2 linked regions of the Coturnix japonica genome follow. The protein of the gene in region 1 purifies or fractionates together with the protein of each later gene. This does not show direct contact. Links are inferred from orthologs where the notes say so. Each region holds a gene or a part of one and is shown on either strand. Other genes may lie near its edges. The genes, in order: acyl-coenzyme A thioesterase THEM4-like and AKT1.

The links.
Region 2: the proteins of acyl-coenzyme A thioesterase THEM4-like (region 1) and AKT1 purify together in Homo sapiens (co-immunoprecipitation; 4 studies listed by BioGRID and IntAct, with this or other methods). This does not show direct contact. The link is inferred for Coturnix japonica from reciprocal best matches to the Homo sapiens genes THEM4 and AKT1.

Annotation. Positions count from the first base shown.
Region 1 is NC_029540.1:2,461,069-2,471,246, forward strand, and holds acyl-coenzyme A thioesterase THEM4-like, read right to left. Parts: upstream 4,594-10,178; 5' UTR 4,470-4,593; coding exon 4,401-4,469; intron 3,111-4,400; coding exon 2,957-3,110; intron 2,439-2,956; coding exon 2,276-2,438; intron 2,212-2,275; coding exon 2,098-2,211; intron 1,995-2,097; coding exon 1,870-1,994; intron 1,711-1,869; coding exon 1,646-1,710; coding exon of another isoform or gene 1,638-1,645; 3' UTR 1,581-1,637; downstream 1-1,580. Other genes in the region: RORC (nuclear receptor ROR-gamma), read right to left, coding at 477-516; S100A10 (protein S100-A10), read right to left, coding at 6,326-6,487, 6,675-6,806. UniProt on the Homo sapiens protein: Has acyl-CoA thioesterase activity towards medium and long-chain (C14 to C18) fatty acyl-CoA substrates, and probably plays a role in mitochondrial fatty acid metabolism. Plays a role in the apoptotic process, possibly via its regulation of AKT1 activity.
Region 2 is NC_029520.1:46,983,491-46,994,799, reverse strand, and holds the start of AKT1 (RAC-alpha serine/threonine-protein kinase), read left to right. Parts: upstream 1-5,682; 5' UTR 5,683-6,109; intron 6,110-11,309. UniProt on the Homo sapiens protein: AKT1 is one of 3 closely related serine/threonine-protein kinases (AKT1, AKT2 and AKT3) called the AKT kinase, and which regulate many processes including metabolism, proliferation, cell survival, growth and angiogenesis.

The sequences.
Region 1 (10,178 bases):
CTCTTCCCCTTGCACACCCCCTCCCCTTGCATACCCCTCCCCTTACACACCCCTTCCCCTTGCACAACCCTCCCCTTGCACACCCCTTTCACTTGCACACCCCCTTCCCTTTGCACACCCCGTCCCCTTACACACCCTCTCCCTATGCACACCCCTTCCCCTTGCACACCCGTTCCCTTTGCACATCCCTGCTCCCTTACACACACCCCGTCCCTCGCACACCCCTTCCCCTTGCACACCCCTCCCCTTGCACGCCTGCCCCGTACCTCTCATTGTGGTGTGTGGGGTGCGGTGGCGCGGCCGGGCGTTATAAGGGCGCGGGGCCCCCCCGGCATCCTGCCCCCCCCCCCCATCAGCATCCTGCCCCCCCCGGCCCCACGCACTGGAAATTTCCGACTTTCCACGGTGACACGTGGGGAGGTGAGGGGGGAAATGAGGGGTCACTAAGCTGTGCTATGGGGGGGAGGATGGGATACCTGGGGGGTGGCAGTAGAGGGGGGGGTTGGACCCCCACATGTGGGCTCTGCAGTCCTCCAGTGTGTGGGGGTGGGATCCACGGCCACCCCGATGCCTGTGGGGCAGCTATAGGGCTGGCAGTGGGGTGAGCTGTAGGGTCAGGTACAGGGCTGGCAATGGGGTCAGCCATGGGGTCAGTTACAGGGCAGCCATGAGGCCATGGGGTGAGTAATGGGGCAACCATGGGGTCAGCCACGAGGCACAGCCATAGGTGAGCTATAGGGTCAGACGTGGGGTCCCCCAGGGAGGGCACAGACTTAGTGCTGCCTGAGTGCAGTGCGGTTGTGGCTGCGCCCCTGTGTACCTGTATCCCCATGTCCCATATTCCTGTGTCCCCAAGTCCCCACATCCCCAGGACCTGGTCAGATTTGGGAGCGGGGGGGGGGGGAACGGAGGGACGACCCCACTCATTCCACGGCCCCGCCCACCCAATGGCTCCGCCCATTCAGCCACAACCCGTCCCCCAACCCCTCCCACCGCACCCCTTCCTGCCCTGCAGCACGTAGGGACAGGGATGGTTATGGGGACAGGGACGGTTATGGGGACAGGGATGGTTAGGGGGACAGGGATGGTTAGGGGGTCAGGGATGGTTATGGGGACAGGGACGGTTATGGGGACAGGGATGGTTATGGGGACAGGGACGGTTATGGGGACAGGGATGGTCAGGGGATCAGGGATGGTTATGGGGCCAGGGATGGTTATGGGGACAGGGACGGTTATGGGTACAGGGATGGTTATGGGGCCAGGGAAGGTTATGGGGCCAGGGAAGGTTGTGGGGACAGGGACGGTTATGGGGCCAGGGACGGTTATGGGGCGAGGAATGGTTATGGGGACAGGGAAGGTTATGGGGACAGGGACGGTTATGGGAGCAGAAATGGTTAGGGGGCCAGGGATGGTTATGGGGCGAGGAATGGTTATGGGGACAGGGAAGGTTATAGGAACAGGGATGGTTATGGTGCCAGGGATGGTTATGGGGCCAGGGATGGTTATAGGAACAGGGACGGGGGACAGACACCATGGGGACACCACTCCGAACCCCAATAAACCACCAGAGGACACCGATGTCACTGCAGTGCCAGGCTCTGATCCCAGGAGGTGACACAGGGACGCCCCCTCCAGCATTACAGTGTCACCGCTGGGGACAGGCGGCCGGGGAGGGGGGGGAATTGTTGTCCTCCACCTGGATGAAGAGAGCTGGAAGAGAACAAGGAGTGACAGTGACACAGTGACACCGTGTGACAGCACGGCATGGGGTCACGGTGCCCTCTGCACTGTGGGGAGCCCCTGTGTCACCCCGCTCTATGGGATGGCCTCGTTGTCCCCATCCCCATCCCCATCCCCACAGCCCCTCACCAGTGGCCTCAGCGTACAGCGTGTCCCGTTGGGTGTCACACACTTGGCAGGACAGGAAGATCTTGCGCCCCTCGTGCTGCTCCACGCGGCTGTCGGCCACCACCACGGCACCCAGCGGCACCGGGCTGGGGGACAAGGAGGGGACAGAGATGGGGGCAGAAAGAGGAGTGAGGGGAGAATGGGGACAAGGACAGGGATGGGAGTGAGGACAGGGTGGGTGACGCTCACGCCAGGTAACTGATGCTCAGCTTGGCCGTCATCGCCGACATTTTGGCTGCTGCCAGAGCACACGTCCCCACTGTGGTGTCAACGAGGGTGGCAATGGCACCACCATGAGCGAAGCTGTGGGGACACAATGAGTGTGTGGGGATGGGGGTGAGGACGGGGATGGGGACATGTCACCTACCCCTGGTGGCCCTCCAGGTAGGGGCCCACCTGGCACAGGCACCGTGTGCGGCGGCCGGAGGCGTGAAGGAAGATGGCGTACTCAAAGCCAGCACCTTCTGCGTCCACATTGCGCAGGAACAGCCGCGGACCCGGACCAGGATCCACCGTCATCTGTAACACCTCTGCCAACAGGACACGGAGTGGGTGACACAATGGGGGGACACAATGGGGGGGACACAATGGGGGGGACATGGTGTGGGTGACACAATGGGGGGGACACAGTGGGGGTGGCAGAGTGTGGGCTGGTGATACAGGGGTGACAAAGTGTGGGTAATGCTGTGTCAGTAACAGGGCATGGGTGACAGTGTGGGTGACACCATGACAGTGTCACGGTGTTGGTGACGCTGTATTTGACACTGTGTTGGTGACACCATGACAGTGTCACGGTGTTGGTGACGCTGTATTTGACACTGTGTTGGTGACACCATGACAGTGTCACGGTGTTGGTGACGCTGTATTTGACACTGTGTTGGTGACACCATGACAGTGTCACGGTGTTGGTGACGCTGTATTTGACACTGTGTTGGTGACACCATGACAGTGTCACAGTGTCGCCACCATTACTGTTGTCACAGTGTGAGCGGCACCACGAGCTGAGGACGCGGTGCAGGTGACACAGACAAGGGACAATGGTGGTCACCTGGGAGGTGGTCGAGGCCGCGGCGGTAGGATGGGATACGACGCCATGAGCCGTTGGTGGTGCAGCGCAGCAGACGCTGGTACTGTTCACACATGGCCGCACTCCATCCGGCATTGGGGACAGCCAAGTCCTGTGGGGACACCGAGCACGAAGCCTGCAGGGACACACAGCAATGGGGACGGGGCGGCCGTGGCTGTGGGACATGGGGTGGTGTGGGGACAGGCACATCAATGGGGACACCGGGGGTTCGGTGGCACAGCTGTGGGATGCTGTCACCAGCGGGGTTTGATCTCCGTCCCCTCCCACCTCCCATCTGTGACCCTCTTGTGTCACCCAGGGCTGGGACATTTATGCCATGTCATCCCTATATGTCACAACACCTGTAACGTGCCTGAGCCTGTCACCACCCCGGAGTGCCCTATGTCCTCATGTCTCCACCCCATATTCCCATGTCCCCACCCCCTATCTGCATGTCACTGCCCCACGTCTCTGTATCACCTACCTTTGTCCCCATGTCACCAGCCAATATCCTCATGTCACCAAGCAATAACCCCATGTCCCCGCCCTGTGTCCCCATGTCACTGCCTGGCGTCTCCGTGTCACCTCCTGTTGTCCCCATGTCCCGCCCCATGATGTCCCGGTGCCACCACCCAACACCACCACCCCATGTTCCCATGTCACTGCTCCATGTCCCCACACCCTCATCCAATGTCCCTGTGCCCCCACTCCATGGCCCCATTTCCCCACCTGATGTCCCCATACCACTGCCTGATGCCACCACCACCTGTCCCCATGTCCCTACGATGTCCCCATGTTCCCTCAATGTCCCCACGTCCTCACAATGTCCCCATGATGTCCATGTCCCCATGATGTCCCCATGTCCCTATGGTGTCCCTATAGTGTCCCCATGCCCCCATGGTGTCCCCATGTCCCATTGATGTCCCCATGTCCCCACAATGTCCCCATGTCCCCATGATGTCCCCATATCCCTATGATGTCCCCAAGTCCCCACAATGTCCCCATGTCCCTACGATGTCCCCATGTTCCCTCAATTCCCCCATGTCCCATTGATGTCCCCATATCCCTATGGTGTCCCCATGTCCCCACAACGTCCTCATGTCCTCACAATGTCCCCATGTCCCTATGGTGTCCCCATGATGTCCCATGTCCCCATGATGTTCCCATGTCCCTATGGTGTCCCTATAGTGTCCCCATGCCCCCATTGTGTCCCCATATCCCTATGATGTCCCCATATCCCATTGATATCCCCATGTCCCATTAATGTCCCCATGTCCCATTAATGTCTCCATGTCCCCATGATGTCCCCATGTCCCCATGGTGTCCCCATATCCCCATGGTGTCCCCACGTCCCATTAATGTCCCCATATCCCATTAATGTCCCCATGTCCCCACACCCACTGACGTCCCCCCGCCCCTCACTCACCGTGGGGGTCACCCTGCCCATCCCATGTGCCACCACCGCTCGCGCCCCCGCCGCGCAGCTTCGCCACATGGCGCGAGATGACGTCACCGAGACGACGTCACTCCGGCTCTGACGTCACTCCGCCCCGACGTCACCCCTCTCCTCTGTCGCGCTGCGATGACGTCACTACGACGCGCCGGGCCCCCCGCCCCGCCCCCACCCACCGCCGTTCCGCCCCGCGACCCGCGGCCGGTACAGCGCGAATGGAGCCACGGGCCGCGATGGGGGCGGAGCCTCCGGTACTGAGGCCGCTTCCGGTGTAAGGCCCCTCCCCACGGAACCCCATAGAGACACATAGGGACACATAGGGATCCGGTGGAGATACACAGCGATGGGGGTTTGGGGTTAAGGACCCCATGGAGATGGGGACTCAGTAATGAATATTGGGATATGGGGTCAGGAACCCCACAGTGATGAGGGTTTGGGGATGAAGACCCCATGGACATGGGGACTCAGGGCTTGTTATGGGGATATGGGGATGGGAATCCTATAGTGAAGGGGGTTTAGGGATGAGGACCCCATGGACATGGGGACTTAGGGCTGACTGGGATATGGGATCAGGAACCCCACAGTGAAAGGGGTTTGGGGATGAGAACCCCACAGAGATGGGAATCGGGGCTGATTGGGGTATGGGGTTGTTAACCCTACAGTGAAGGGGGTTTGGGGATGAAGACCCCACAAAGATGGGTACTTAGGGCTGACTGGGATATGGGGATGGGAACCCCACAGTGATGGGACTCAGGGCTGATTATGGGGATATAGGGTCAGGAACCCCACAGTGAAGGGGGCTTGGGGATGAGAACCTTCGAAGGGAGATGGCAGGTTAGGCTGTGATGGGCGGGATATGGGTGGGAACCCCACAGTGAAGGGTTTGGGGATGGGAACCCACAGGAGATGGGCTTTGGTGTGATTTGGGATATGGAGATGGGAGACCCCACGTGAAGGGGGTTGGGGATGGGAACCCCATGATATGGGGATCGGTGCTGATTATGGGAGTTGGGATAGAACCCCCACAGTTGAAGGATGTGGGATGAGACCCATGGGACATGAGGACTTAGGGCTGATGGTATGGGGAGTATGGGATCAGGAAACCCCACAGTGAAGGGGGTTGGGGATGAAGGACATCAGCAGAGATGGGGGACTCGGCTGGATTTGGGAGTATGGGGATGGGAGCCCCACAGTGATGGGGGTTTGGGATGGAACCCATGGACATGGGGACTCAGGGCTGATTATGGGGATATGGACTCAGGACCTGACTAATTGGGATATTGGGGTTGGGAACCCCACCGGGAAGGGGAATTTGGGATGGAGGACCCCATGGACACGGGGACTCAGGGCTGATTATGGGGGATATGGGGATGGGACCCCACAGTGAAGGGGGTTGGGGATGGAAAGACTCAGCAGAGGATGGGACTTTCGGTTGCTGATTTAATGGGGATGATGGGCGATGGGCAGCCCCACAGTGATGGGTTGGGATGGGAACCCCACAGCAATGGGACTCGGTTGCTGATTATGGGGATATGGGGACTCAGGACTGACTAATTGGGATATGGGGTTGGGAACCCCACAGCACAGGGGGTTTGGGGATGAGAACCCCATGGACATGGGGACTCAGGGCTGATTATGGGGGATATGGGGATAGGAACCCCACAGCGAAGGGGGTTTGGGGATAGGAACCCCACAGCAATGGGACTCAGTGCTGATTATGGGGATATGGGGATGGGAACCCCACAGCGATGGGGATCTGTGCCTGGGATTCCCATGGCGATGGGGACCCGGTGCTGACGGGGATGCAGGGATGGGAACCCCCCAGTGATGACCCACCCCAAGGCAGAGGCCACAGCAGGGTCATACAAAACACTTTATTGGGGCGGCGGGGCCGTCTCTCACTTCCTCCCCTTCTGCTTCATGTGCACCACGAAGTAGTCGTTGCAGGCGATGGTCAGTCCAGCCACCAGTGAGAAGAAGCTCTGGAATCCCACTTTGCCATCCCGGCACTGGTCCAGGTCCTTCATGATCTTATCCAGAGCCATGGGGTCACGCTGGTTCTGGGGGCAGAAGCGGGTCAGCACCTCATAGTGTGGTAGGTGCTGTGACCCCACTGTGCCCCATTCCCCTCCTCCAGGTTATAGAACCCTGGGGTAGGTGTGACCCTGCTCTGTTCCCCACCGCCTCAAGGTATCCAGCTCTTATAGGGCTGTGGGGTAAGTGTGACCCCACTGTCCAACCTCTCACCTCCAGGAATCCGGGGAACTCCTTCTCCATCAGGGCACGCAGGTCCTCCTTGCTCAGGTAGTTCTTGTCACCCGCATATTTGTGGAAGGTGAACATCAGCGTCTCCATGGCGTGCTCCATTTGGGATGGCATGGTGGCTGCTGTGGGGTCTGTGGGGTCAGCAGGGTCCTGTGAGGGTCTCAGTGGGGTCTGTGGGGTCAGAAGGATACAGTGGGGTCTAAGGTGTGGGATCAGCAGAGTTGGAAGGGTCCAGTTGGGTCTCACTGGGGTCTGCGTGGTTTAGTAGAGTCTAAAGGGGCTGGAAGGGATCAGGAGGGTCTGCAGGTCTGCATGGGGAGAAGCAGGGTCAGAAGGGATTTGTGGGGTTCCATGGAGCTTCAGAGGGTCTCTGTGGGGCGTGTCAGGCATCGTGGGGTGTGTGGGGCTCCATAGGGTGTGTGGGGCTCCACAGGGGTGTGTGGGGCTCCATAGGGTGTGTGGGGCTCCACAGGGGTGTGTGGGGCTCTATAGGGTATGTGGGGCTCCATAGGGTGTGTGGGGCTCCATAGGGGTGTGTGGGGCTCCATAGGGGTGTGTGGGGCTCTATAGGGTGTGTGGGGCTCCATAGGGGTGTGTGGGGCTCCATAGGGGTGTATGAGGCTCCATAGGGGTGTATGAGGCTCCATAGGGCGTGTGGGGCTCCATAAGGGTGTATGGGGCTCTATAGGGTGTGTGGGGCTCCGTAGGGCTCTATAGGGGTATATGGGGCTCTATAGGGTGTGTGGGGCTCCATAGGGGAGTGTGGGGCTCTATAGGGAGTGTGGGGCTCCACAGGGGTGTGTGGGGCTCCACAGGATGTGTGGGGCTCCATAGGGGCGTGTGGGGCTCCATAGGGGAGTGTGGGGCTCCATAGGGGAGTGTGGGGCTCCACAGGGGTGTGTGGGGCTCCATAGGGTGTGTGGGGCTCCATAGGGGCGTGTGGGGCTCCATAGGGTGTGTGGGGCTCCATAGGGTGTGTGGGGCTCCGTGCCCTCCGTCCCATCGTGGTGACTCAGCTCCGGGCAACGGCCGCGAGGCGGGGCCGGGTGTGATGTGCTGCGGTGTCCCTCCTCTGAACCCCCCCCTCCAACACACACACCCCGCCCCGGTCTTCCCTATGGGACACCCTCGGGACCCCCCCGCCCTGGGCACACTGAGTCACGGCGCCTCCTCCCAGGGTGGGGCCCCTCCTGGATTCCCTACAATCGTGGATGGGGGGGGCACATCCCAAAGCTGCTCCCCCCCCCCCCCACTCCATTGCAGGAATGGAGACTCCACCCTGGGGGTGAGGCGTTGGGGTGTCCCTCCGGCTCAGCTTTAATGCTTTGGGGAGGGGGGGGACACACAGTTTGGTTTTGGGGACCACTCCTCTATACCTGCAAAGGGGGAAGAGGAAAGGGGGAAAAGGAAGGAGGGGGGGGTCCCACCCCAAGTGGAAAATAATGGCAGAGTCCCAACCTTTGCATTAAACTCTCCCCTGTTCCAACAGCCCCCAAATAAATAAGTAAATAAATAGAAATAAAGCTGCAGCATCTCAAGGGGGGGTGGGGGTGGATCCTAAAGTTTATGGGGTGATGGGATAGTGTATGGGAGGGGGGGGGGAAAGCAAATCTTATGGGGTGATGTGCGGGTGGAAAGCCCTCAAAGTTTATGGAGTGAAGGGGGAGGGAATGAGGGGGACCCCGAGCTTTGTGGGGTGATATGGGGTGAGGGGAAGAGCCGGGACCTCCTAAGAGGGGGGGGTGCAGGATGGGACCCCCCCCCTCCAGATGGAGGTTATGATGGAGCAGGGTTACTGCTATGGAGGGGGTGGGACGGGGGTATCCTCTATGAATAGGGCTTCTCTCTAAGGGTGTAGGGAGGTCCTCTATATAAAGGGTCCTCACCCCATTGCGGGTCAATGCCTGGAGGAGCTGGGTTCCAAGGGACCCAAATGAGGCGGGGGTCCTATGGAGAGGTCCTATGGAGGGGGGGGGTCGGTACTCACCGCACGGCGCAGACCGGGGCACTGCGGGGCGGTGGCACCGCCCGGGATAGGCACGGAGGGGGCGGGACCGCCCCGGGGGGGGGACCCGGGGGGGGCCTGGGGCTGACTCAGTCGCTCCCGCCCGCAGCGCTCAGCCTTAACCCCTTCCTGCCCGGCCACTATCAGCCCCCCCCGGCCACTATGTGTCACCTGAACGCGTGTCCCACCTGGTGGCTCCTGGGGAGGGGAGCACCGCTGGGGAGGGGGCGCCTGGGGACGAGGCCGCCTTTGGGTACAGGCCCGTCCATCCCTAAGATCAGGGCCGTTCTTAGGGACCTGGCTCAGGGATGTGGCCCTAACCCCGGGCACGGGGCTGCACTTGGGGACAGGGCCACCAAGGAGCTGTGGGCACTGAGAGCTGTGAGAAACAGCTTTGGGGACAGGAACGTACTGAGGGACCGACGTGGGTTTCTTTTGGGGACACGGCCATTACTTGTAGGGACAGGGCTGCGCTTGGAGTCACGGCTGTGTATGGGGACATGGAGGACAGGAGCACATCTGGGGCCATGATCACCTATAGGGCCAGCATCACCTATAGGGACAGGATCACCTATAGGGCCAGCATCACCCATAGGGACAGGATCACCTGCAGGGCCAGGATCACACTTGTAAGGACAGGATCACCTGTAGGGCCAGGATCACCTGCAGGGACAGGATCACATCTGTAGGACCAGAATCACCTATAGGGCCAACATCACCTGTAGGGCCAGGATCACCTGTAGGGCCAGGATCACATCTGTAGGGCCAGGATCCCCTCTAGGGACAGGATCACCTGCAGGGCCAGGATCGCATCTGTAGGGCCAACATCACCTGTAGGGCCAGGATCCCCTCTAGGGCCAGGATCATATCTGTAGGACCAGGATCACCTATAGGGCCAACATCATCTGTAGGGCCAGGATCCCCTCTAGGGCCAGGATCACCTGCAGGGCCAGGATCATATCTGTAGGGCCAGGATCCCATCTGCAGGGCCAGGATCCCATCTGCAGGGCCAGGATCACACCTGTAAGGACAGGATCCCCTCTAGGGCCAGGATCACATCTATAGGGCCAGGATCACATCTGTAGGGCCAGGATCACACCTGTAAGGCCAGGATCACCTGCAGGGACAGAGCCATGCAGGGGGACAGGGCTGCACATGGGGCGATGGCTCTCATTGGGGCAGGGGCCAGTGACCCCCTGAGAGCAGCCCCGATGCCTTTGGGGCTGAATTCACCCCCATGATACTGCAGGTGCCCTCCATCACCTCTATCTGCACCCAGTATCTGGCAGCACCCAGCAGGCGCTGTGCCACCACCTGCCCACGCAGACACGGCTCAATTAGCGCAGCTCATTACTGAAGGGCTGCTCTAATCCCCCCCCCAATAAAAAACGCCCTGAAGTGAAATGGGACCTGAAATGAAATGGGACCTTTATGGGGCTCTCCCGGTTCTCAGCCCCCTCCCCCCCAGGACCACCCTTACC
Region 2 (11,309 bases), on another chromosome or scaffold:
AGGAAATTTCAGGCTGGGGGGAGAGGAAGAGGTTCAGCCCTGGAGCGGAGCCCTGTCCCTATAAGCAGGATGGAGTAACTTGCTCTGGCCACAGAGTTCTATAGCCACAAACCTAAATGTAGGCACAGCTAACAAAAACAGCAAAGATGTAGCCAAAGGCTTGTCAAAGCTTTCAAGAATTTTCTGACTGCAAGAAATCAGAAGAGAAGATCTCAGTGATCTCACTGAAGACAAGGAGTATCATCCAGGCTGGATGTGGCTCTGAACAGCCTTTGTCTGGTTGTTGGCGACCCTGCAAATAGCAGAAGGGTTGAAACCAGATGATCTCTGAGGTCCTTTTCAACCCAGGCCATTCTATGATTCTATGACTCATGAGGTTAAACCCAGTCAGACACTGAGGAAATACATGACAGAGATGGTAAAAAAAAAGCAAAAAAAAAGTACAAACTCTGAATGGAGTTTGTACTTACTGCACCATATAGTATTATATTACCAGGGCTTTCCTTTCACAGAACAACTTCTTGCATTATAAATAGAGCCAAAACACCTCTCTTGTTGCTTCACAAACCCATTGTTTTTATGCTGGTGTCTTGCAGAAACAAGGACAAGGCAGGGCTCTGTTTTAAAGAGATGATATGAAGATATGAATTTATCCTTCTCCTCTCTCCTGGCTTTTCCTTGGTTCATTGGAGTGTGATCTCTTCCACCCATGAGGTGTGAATACAGATGAAAACATCACTAAGTGCAGTTTTACGGCTGTGGGAGCTGGGAGGTCAGCCCAGAACGATGCTGCCCTTCAAAGTTTTCAAACTATAAAATTTTGATGAGGTGATTCAAGTTGTAGCTGATTCCCATGTGCATGCAGATGCCATTAAATTGCAATGAGGAAATTAAAATCCCTTCTCTTCTAGCATTAATATACAAATAATAACAATAAAAAACCCTGCCTGTTCACTGGATAAATGGCTCAGGTACATGTTAAAGGATCTACGAAGACTCTGTTGCCCTAATACCTAAAACATTAACGGCTCTCGAAGCTCTTGATCTCAAGGAAATTGTAAAGATCATAAGAAAGATTGACTGGCTCTGCGTTGGCTCTGCCTGGAGCACAGCACAGCCAACACCAGTGCTCCAAAAGCCTCTTGCTGTGCCCACACCCAGCTGTGCTCCTGCTCCTTCTGCATTTCCACAAGGAGATCTGCAGGGGCAATCAATCACTAATACTGCACTCAAGTTAATATGCCCACATTTTGCTTAACTGCATAATTTTAAGTGAAGAGCATAATCTGTGATGGATATGTGAGAGACAGGAACGCAACAGGAACCTGACCGTTTGTACTCTGTTTTTTCTTTTGGTTTGGTGTATATAAGTTCACTATTTCAGTGTCATAAGATTATTTTCCCTTCTCAATACAGCTGGGATTGTGATGTTTCCTCACACAGGTTACTGGAATTATAGAATTCTCAAGCATTTTCCCAGAACTAAGTACTCAGGTAGTGTTACTTGACAAACAAGGGGGGAAATCAACATTTTGAAGTGGAATTCAGTCCATCAATATCAGAAACTGTGTCTTCTGATGTGTCTCTGCAGACCCAAAGAGTGACTGGTCTAGAGTAGGACTTGTGGTTATCACTGTAACAACAAAAACAGATGTGGTGGTGTACGGAACAGAAGTGATACATATGCTATTTTTATATGCTCTATATCTAACTAGTGCATTTTCTATACAAACCGATTCAGTTCCTGTTTACGTTTCCCACAGCGTGTTTGCTGTCCTATGTTATGGCTATCACTATTCTGAATGAAGAGGTCTGTACAGCTCTCACATTGGAGTTTGTCAGCACCATTCCTGACTCAGCCAGACAGGCTCACTGCAGGTCTGGGAAGTGCACCTTCTTCCTCCTGCTCCAGCTGGAGGAAGCGCATTGTGCCTCCCCAGGGCTCCTCAGCTTCAGCATGCTGGTGACCAGGAAACAGGAGCTTGCAACTGAACAGAGGTCTCCTGCCTGACCTCTTCAAGGGGTTTTAACAAGGTATTGGGAAGAGCTCCCCAAAACGCTCTTGCAAACAGCATAATTCAGACCACTGCTGTTCAAGGTGCCGGTTTAGCTGACACTCAGCCTTTTATGGACAAGACATGTTTCTAAAAAGCAAAGTCGCAACGTTTCAATATGACTATAATTATTAGTTCTTTCTAGATAGCCTGCTTTTGTTTCACAGCTGAGAAATACACCTTGGATTTGTTCAGTTTCAGAAGCACAACTCTATTACATTTGGCAGTACTAAACCCACTCTTCATTTTCATATTCATTAAGCTGTATTTTTGTCCTACACCAAACCAGAGTCATTAATTTAAAAACATTTAATATCTAGTCCAAAAACCCCAGTGGGCTGTCACATAGCCTTTCCACTTGAGTACACCCCACCTTTTAAAAAGGGAGGAACACATTTCCTGATGGCCCATAAATGTGCTGCCGCTACTTGCATCATAGAACAGAACTTGTTCTACTGGTGGTTAACTCAGTAATTCCATTTCATCTTAATACTCTATTCCTTCTTTTTACGCCTGAATGGGTATAAAACTTTTTTCTTCTCTCTCTTTTTTTTTTTTTTTTAAATCCTAAGCTGAATAATTTCAACATTTAAAAATAACGTTAACAGTTATGTCAAATTATATAATAGAATCATTGAATCATCGAATCATAGAATCATAGAACCATAGAATGGCTTGGGTTGAAAAGGACGACAGTGATCATCCAGTTTCAATCCCCCTGATGTGTGCAGGGTCGCCAACCACCAGACCAGGCTGCTCAGAGCCACATCCAACCTGGCCTTGAATGCCTGCAGGGATGGGGCATCCACAGCCTCCTTGGGCAACCTGTTCCAGTGCGTCACCACCCTCTGTGTGAAAAACTTCCTCTCAGTATCTAACCTAAACCTCCCCTGTCTCAGTTTAAGACCATTCCCTCTTGTCCTATCACTGTCCACCCTCATAAACAGCCATTCCCCCTCCTGTTTATATGCTCCTTTCAAATATTGGAAGGCCACAATGATTGTTAAAAATGGATGGGGATGATTCTTCTGATATCAACCGTTCTCTGCCATTAGCCCCTGTGTTCATTACTGTAGGGTGATACAATACCAAGGATGACCTGATGCACCTTATCCTGAAATGAGAGCAAACAGATGAAATCTATGGACGCACCCAGGGAAATCTAGGGACTTCCCTCAAAATTATGGTTTATAGACTATAATCTCCTTGATGATAACTGAGTGATAAAACACACATTGTTTGCATTTATAACAATTATTGAGTGATTTCATTGTTCCCACTGAAGAAAAGGCCTGCTTTTGTTCGTTGCTGATAGAAAGTTGCTCTTGTTGCAGACCAGGCACTTCCTACTTTACCTGGGTATTTTTATTGGCACTACTTCACCGTGTCTGAGACAAGCCTTATTCCTGTCTCTGCATCTAACTTCCCTCTCACATTTGGGGAATATCAGATCCATATCAGGATCCAAACTGTTTAGTAAGGACCTGTCTTTCATCACGGTAAATCAACAGTGTGTGAATCTAAACAATCTCTTTGTGTTGAATTGTTTTTTTCTTTTTAATTGCACTTCCTTTTTAGCAAACAACAGAGGTTTATTTTCTTCTCTTCGGGACTGAAAACAATGTTTACGTATGACCTTATTTTTAAAACTGCTGCTTCATTTGCAGGGGGAAGTCCTAATGACCTTGATCACCACGCAGCCTGGGAGCAAGGAAGGCAAGAAGCTCTCCTGCAATCAGATCTGTTACCAGAGATCCCCCCCACCTATACAGAAGAGTCTCACAGATAGTAAAGTCCAGTACTTACACATGCACTTTACTGCTAGGCATAATTGCAGGCTGAAGGCTCAAAATTAGTTCACCAGTGGATATTCTTGTACTCATAAGTTCTGTATGTGCCCTGTTAGCTCTGAGCTTTGCACGCTGACAATTTCCTTTTAAAGATATCTCTGACACCTACCTACATTTTATTCTATGCCTCATGTTCTGAACTTAATGCACAGTATGTAGAAATATGATTTTATTTTCCATTACCTGAGGGTGTGGACAGTTCTCCGCCATTTCATTCTGTTCATTTTGATATCAGTATAAATCTTTCTACTGACAGCAGATGCAGATCTGACTCTTAGGCTTTTTTTCTCTCCATCCTGAAGAAGGGCTAATTCTTTTCTCCACTTTCAAGCTCCTTTAGTGCACTGATATACACAGAATCTGATGATCCACTGGACACTCAGAAAATTAGTGACGGATATAATTCTTTGGACAGACTTTCTAGTTGATCACATTGGAAGAAGGATATAAAATGTGAATTTCAGTAAGAACATACAATCATTCCCAATGACACCGCAGGAAAAACTCTTAGTATGTCAAATAGATTTGCTGCCTGTGTAAATGCAGAGCTGCGTTCCCCAGCTTTACTGATGTAAATGCATTTTACGCACCTTTATTTTGTTAACAGTGCAAAGCTGTGGGAAGATGTGGCATTTTCTAAATTCTAACGAGCTTCCAATTACAGAAACACGATCATCAGTGATCGCATGCTTCTGAACAAATCAAAGCACTCTTACGGCCCAGTTAGATTTTATGGCACTGTCAATTAGAAAATAAACAAAATCCCTTAATGAGTAAACAGGGAAAATTTTGATACTGGAAGCACAGAGAAATCATAAATCTGTCAAAGCCATTTCCACAACATCGTTTTTCAGAGCGGAGCAGCTCTTAAAATCTGACAAAATACTGCCCTGCTGCAAGCGACAGTTCTCGTTGCTGCAGCAATCCGTAATGGTTTGGGAAGGGCTTTAAACTAAAGCAGGGGACATTTAGGTTAGACGTTAGGAATAAATTCATCTCTAAGAGGGCGGTGAGGCCCTGGCACTGCTGCCCAGAGAGCTGTGGGTGCTCCATCCCTGGAGGTGCCCAAGGCCAGGCTGGATGGGGCCCTGGGCAGCCTGAGCTGGTGGGGGGCAGCCAGCCCACAGCAGGGTGTTGGAGCTGGGTGTGCTTTGAGGTTCCCTCCAACAGGAGCCATTCTGTGACTGTATTATTTGTGTGTACTGAGAGCAGAACGGCCTAGCAAGCAGCAAGGAGGCTGAGATGCAGCACCTAGACTCATGGCCTGGGTTGCTACCCTGTCCCCAGGCAGCCCCCCTTGCTGTGGGAAAGGATACTGGAATATCCTCTAAGTGATACCGCATTATTGAATCAATCAGGATTTAGGAGGCGCAGGGAAAAACCTGCAGCGTGTTAAGTAGATTTGTACGGCTTCAGGAAAGCTTCACAAAGTTGCTCTGGCGCTGTACAGGAGCCACATGCTTTCTGAGCAGCAGAGGTGCCACGAAACCACCGTGGCCCCGTGCTTGATGCCTGCTTTTTGGAGTTCATTGCCAACACTTTGGGAACACTTCGGCAAGACCAGACACCCGCACCTCAAAGCCAGGAGAAACTATAAAGTGACCCACACCCAGGCTCTGGCAACCGGACGCCCCTTGTAGAGGCCGGCGGTGCCTCTCAAAGCCGGCAGCCCGAAGCGGGGCCCGGGGCCGGGTAGGCGGCGGGCTGAGGGGAGCAGCGAGGCGGAGCAGGGCGGCCCCACAGCGCGGCCCCACAGCGCGGCGGGGCGGGCGGGAAGCGGAGCGACGGCGGTAGGACCCGGAGGATGTGAGAGAGAGCGTGTGGGACGAGCCCGGCTCCGGCTGCGGGGAGCTCGGCCCTGCGGCTCCGGGGGTGCTGCTGAGCGAGAGGCAGCCTCCTCCTCTCGGCCAGAGGCAGGAGCGAGGCGGAGCGGCGGGGAAGGCAGAGCCGGCAGCCCGTGTGAGCCCCATGGGCCGAGCGCCTGCGAGAAGGGGAGGAGGAGCCGGCCCGCCGCCCGCCGCCCGGGGATGGTGAGGAGGCGGCGGCTGCCGTGAGCCCAGTTAGGCCTTCGCTCGGCGCCCGCCCGCCAGGCTCTCCCTTCCTCCGCTCGCTCGCTCCCCCCTTCCCTCCCCTTCCCCTGCCTCTTTCCCCTGCCGCCGCCGCCGCCGCCCTCCCATCACCTCCACCCTGGGCTCCCGGAGCCATGTAAGTGACCCGCTCCCGGGGTGGGAAGGGCCGGGGGAAGGAAGCGCCGGGGCCTGCTCCGCCGCGCATTGTGCGGGGCCGGGAGGGGCGGACAGGCGAGGCGAGGCGGCCGCTCTGCTCCTTCCCCGGGCGGCGGCCGCCGGGCGCCCGCTGACCCGCGTAGGCCGCGGCGGGGGCTTTTGCTGGCCCGGGCTGAGGCACCGAGGGGCCGCCGGGGGTGTGCGTGTATGTACGGGGTAGGGGGGGGCAGGGCTGCGGCCCGGAGCCGGGCGGGAGGGCTCGGGGCGAACAGGAAGCTGTTGGCTTCCCTGGGATGCGGGGAATGGAAGTGCTGCGGGGTGGGGGGCTCCCCCGGCCGCCCTCTGGGCCTGCTGCAACCGCGTCGTCCCCGAGCATCTCCGAGGGAAAAAGGGGCTTTGGGGCAGAGGGAGGCACGGGGCATTTCCCAAAGTGTAGCACAGAAAGTGGCCGATCGTTCCTCCATCTACTCCCCCCGCCCCCATTTTCTCCCTTTATCTTTTGTGCGGCTCCGCGCTGCGTTGAGGATCGGGGAGTGTTTACAGTCGGGGGTGTGAGTCTCCGTGTGTTGGTGGTGCTGGGCAGTGTTGCTGGGCCCCATTGCTTTGAGTTCTTGCGGCGGTGTTGTGCAGAGCTGCGAGGAGCTGCTTACAGCCAACCCCCCTCCGCCCCCCAGGTGGAATTCTGCAATCGCTGAAACGTTCCTGCAGACTTCCAGGACTTTTCCTTTGGGTTCTTTGTAGAGCTCAGAATTCTAACAGTGTGTGCTGTATTTGCTGTCTGTTTTTACTGACACAAAGGTACAGATGCAGGTTGCACCTTATTGGGATTCCCCCTGCCCCTGGGAAAGGATTTAACCATTTTTCTCTCTGCTTTATTTTTCTTCCATCCCACCCATACAAGAAGCTAATCCCTGCTTTACTCTTGTTTGCTGTACTTATGCCACCAGGAGGGATGTACATTTTGAAATACAGTTACAAAGGGGCGTTACTAAGACTTAATTCAGAAGAATATTTGTTTACAGGTAAATAAACGTAACGCAGCCTATGACTAGTAATTACTTTTTTGTAGCAGCTAATTTCCTGATGACAGCCACAGCATTTGTCTGAGTTAATAGATTTAAAGGCACCGTGGAACTACCTTTGATTTTCTTTAAACAGGAGGGTTTTCCTTGTGTACATTATAGAACTGCTTTAGGTTCTGAGCTGCAGCAGTAAATCGAATCTAAGAATTGATCCAGTGTCCACAAGTAACCTGTAGCTCCGGCGTTGCTGGCTTATAGAAACAACCTGTAAGTAATTACAAATAGGATTAAATGGGTTCATGAGTGACTTGGTTTGTTTGGGAGACGGAACAAAACTTCCGTTATAAATACTTTGAAACGGGATTTGATTAAATGCATCTTAAGTCGGTGCAGAAGTTCTGAGCAGCACAGTCATTAAATTATATGAGGGTAAACTGTAAAAGGCCTTCTTCTTGTTTTGGAACATAAAGAAGATTTTGTTTAGCCTATGTCTTTGACGGAGAGTATGAAGAGATCTCTTTTTCTGCCATTGCTTAGTTTTGAAATACGCAGTTCAGTTTGTCCTATCAAACTGCAGTTGTGGTTGAAGCTCAGACAGCTGCATGTCGTAACTCTGGCCCCTCACCTGAACCAAATCAACCTCCTGTCTATTGATTAGTGGAGACGTGAGAGCACAGGCATTCCAAATTGCAGCTTTGTAAACCTAGATTGTGCTGACGGATTGGAGGAAAAGTGGATGTGGCTTTAGAGATCTTTTCTCCACTTACTGCTTTTTCCCGCAGTTCTTAGTGTCAGAGAAGCATTATTAAACCTTGTGATAAGCTGCACGTACAGTCATGAAATACTCATTTAGACATGGTGTTGTTCTGAATGGAACATCACATGAGCTAGTAGCAAAATATTTGTGACCATGCCTAACTCATGGGCCACAATGCATTTTTGTAAAGCAAGCTAAGATGCTGGAACAACCTGGTCCTTCTGTTCTCTCTTGAAAGCTGTCTGCCCAGATTGAGTAACTAGGTCATGGTGTGAAGCCGCTGTGAGTTCACAAGGCCTTGAGTGCTTTGGAAGCGCTGCTTCTCCTGGGTAGGATTTGCATAATGCAGGAGATGTACTTCACTGGTCAGAGCCTGGTGGAGATACTGCTCCGTACGCTCTACTTAAAACGTTTGCTGGAGCCCAACTTTGTTGCTCTTGTGCCGTTTGGATACAGTTGGCTGTGAGCTTAAAGGGAGAGCGGGGATATGATGCAGAAAGAGAGCGCAGGTTGCTGGTGTGATGTGTGGGCCCCACAACACGCACCTCTGCTCCCCTGCTGTTCTTGTGACGGTGCCTTGAAACCAAGGTAGGTAGGTGGGTGCTTGGGTCCTTTTTTGAATGGTTCTGCTGTTGCATGTTAAGAGAACATGCATGGATATGTGTCATATGAGGGCATTAGGACTGCCAGTCTGGGATGGGCAAAGCAATAGTCTTAGGAGCGTGCTTTGCTGTAACCTGCTTCCTGATCTGTGCTGACTGGCACAGCCATTGTGCTGAGTGAGACAGGGATGGGACTGAGGCTGGTGGGTTTGATCATCTTCTGACAGAGCCTTACTCCTTCCCAAGGATGAAGTCATTACCATGATGCTCCTACATCCCGTAAGCTTGTTTCAGATTCAGCGTCAATGGGAGAATGAATTTCCTTCCTGCACTGCTTTAGGGTGTGAATAGAAAGGAATATGAAATTTGACCTTGAAAAGAAGGGAAATTGAGTAGGACAGATTGATCTCTTGATTTCAGGGATATTTGGGAAGAAGCGAACGTGAATCTAAGCACGAGAGCATATGAGAAAAGGAGATCTCCCAAATAGAGGCAAGATGATTCTGTTCCACCTTCTGTTTAAGCTGACTCTTTAAAGCAGGCTTCATTGTTTCATTGCGCAGGGAGGTGAGTTATCTCATTACCTATGAAAGTTAATAACCTTTGAGGAATTAATGTATGCATAAGATCAGTATTCACTGCGATACAATGCTGATGTTGTGCTATTTGTGATGTACTGCACTTCCGCTGTGTGAGGAGTATTTTGGTCTTGAAAAAGGTATTACAGAAAGCGTATTGAAAGTCCAGCAAACTGAATGCTGAGAGAAAGACAGAGTTGTTTGGCTTTTGACAGTAGTCAGTCATGTGCAGATACAGACTGAAGCAGCCAGGTCATACTTACCTCAGATGCCCTCTGCTCACTGGGAACCATTCCTAGATGGCCATAAATGAGGGCTGTAGTAATTCTTCTTCTTTTTTTTTTTTCTTCTCTCTAAAGATTTTATGCAAATGGAACTTTCTCTGGTTTACACATCTTCAGAAACACACTGACCTGTAGTTAACTTACTCCTCTAATCCAGGAAATTACCATTACTTGCTAGCCCTCCATTTGATTGCCTTTTATTTAAATCCATTTATTAAGCACAACTTGGATGTGTATTTTGAAGGACCAGATAGAGTGAGTTTGCTGCTGTTGGAGCTGTGTCTTTGGACATTCACAGCGAGAAGGCATTCCCAGCTCTAAGAACAGTTCCCCCTTACAAAAGAAATGCTTTGGCATTGCTGAGGGAACAAGGTGGAGCCGATGCTGCATTGTGGTGGAAGGAGCTGTGCAGGTAGACACATCCCTGATGGCAGTGCTGCACTAACAAGTGGGGGATGCTTCTTGTATAGGAACTGGAGGCAGAGGGCAGTCCAGGCTTTTTGGGCACGACAGAAACTGGAAAAAAGTAGTTCCTCTGAACTTTGGGTTTCGTTTCTGATTTGCTGTTTTTTGGTCTGCGTAGTCACTGGTTCAGACTGAGGTGACAGTTTAGGCTGTGAGGAGCAGGAGGCTGCCAGGAGGTGATCGTAGCAAGTGTTAACACACATAAACCTGGAGTATGTTAGTTGGGGGTTCTATGATTTTGTACCATCACACTTTTTTTTGGTATTAGTAAAAGGATGGTCCTTTCTACAGACTAGTGTGGTTCGTAGCTTTCTTTTTCCTTTTAAGTATAAATCCTGAAAAGGATTGATTGCTTTACATGTTGAAATTGTTGAACTGAAGAAACAGAGGTAGGCTACATAGACCCCACTTTCTGTTACAGCACCATCTTAGATGCATTTCACACCTTGGTGCTGTGTTTTCTTACCTAAGCTGTGATAATCTTAGGGGTTTTGCTCAACACTTTGCAAATCTCTCAATGCTTAAGTGAAGCCTTTAGCAAGGTTTGGTCTCTCGTTGATGTCAACAAGTAGATGTAGCTGGCGCGACTGTTGTGCATGCATTGTTGAAAGGAGAGTGGAAGCCTGCTGTGTTCATCAAGTTGTGTCTTAATTGCTCTGGATCTGAAGGAGTTTGTTCGAAGACAACTGGTGGCTGTGGGTTGCTGGTCTCTATTCTACAGCATATGGTTCTCACATATTTATTTATGAAATTAAGAATTCTTACAAGTCTCTTGTTCCAATGTCATTTTTTTTGTGTGTGTTTTCCCTCCCTCGGGCAAACGTCGTATCTGTTTCTTTGAGATGATAATTATAAGCAGTCAGAAATGGCAGATTCATAATTTGGAAAAATATCTGCCATTTTTAGGGGAAAAAAAAGAAAAAAAAAAACAAAACACACAAAAACATAAAATGTTACTGGAAATAGCGATAAATAGTTAAAGTTCATAGGCAGAAATACTAGGATTGACTTCATTCTCTCGCATCTCCTACCAGTCAATTTCTGCTTCTAGTGACCATTCAAGTTTGACTTTCTTGCTTTGAAAATAGTTTTAGAGCGTTGGCAACAAATGGTGCAGGCCCCTCTGTCCTTGCTAATGTCTCAGTTCTGGATTGGATTCATTTTGACCACCTGCTTCTTCTATTCGGGGTTGTGTCTTAGTGAGTTATGTGAAATTACTTGCTTTTTAATCTGGTTTCTGATGAGTATCACCTGCGTGCTCACAAATAATTGATGTACACACGCCAAATGCATGCAGAGATGATATATATTTGTTGGTGGGAATGTGATGTCTCAGTGTTTGGAGTGAGACCAGTAAAAGCCAGGTCTTTGCTGGCGTGTTACAAGGGTTGTTACTTAGTTATTGCTTAGAATGTGCCACTAGTTAGATTTTTTTTTATTGCCTAAGCTGTACCAAATTGGATGAACAAATG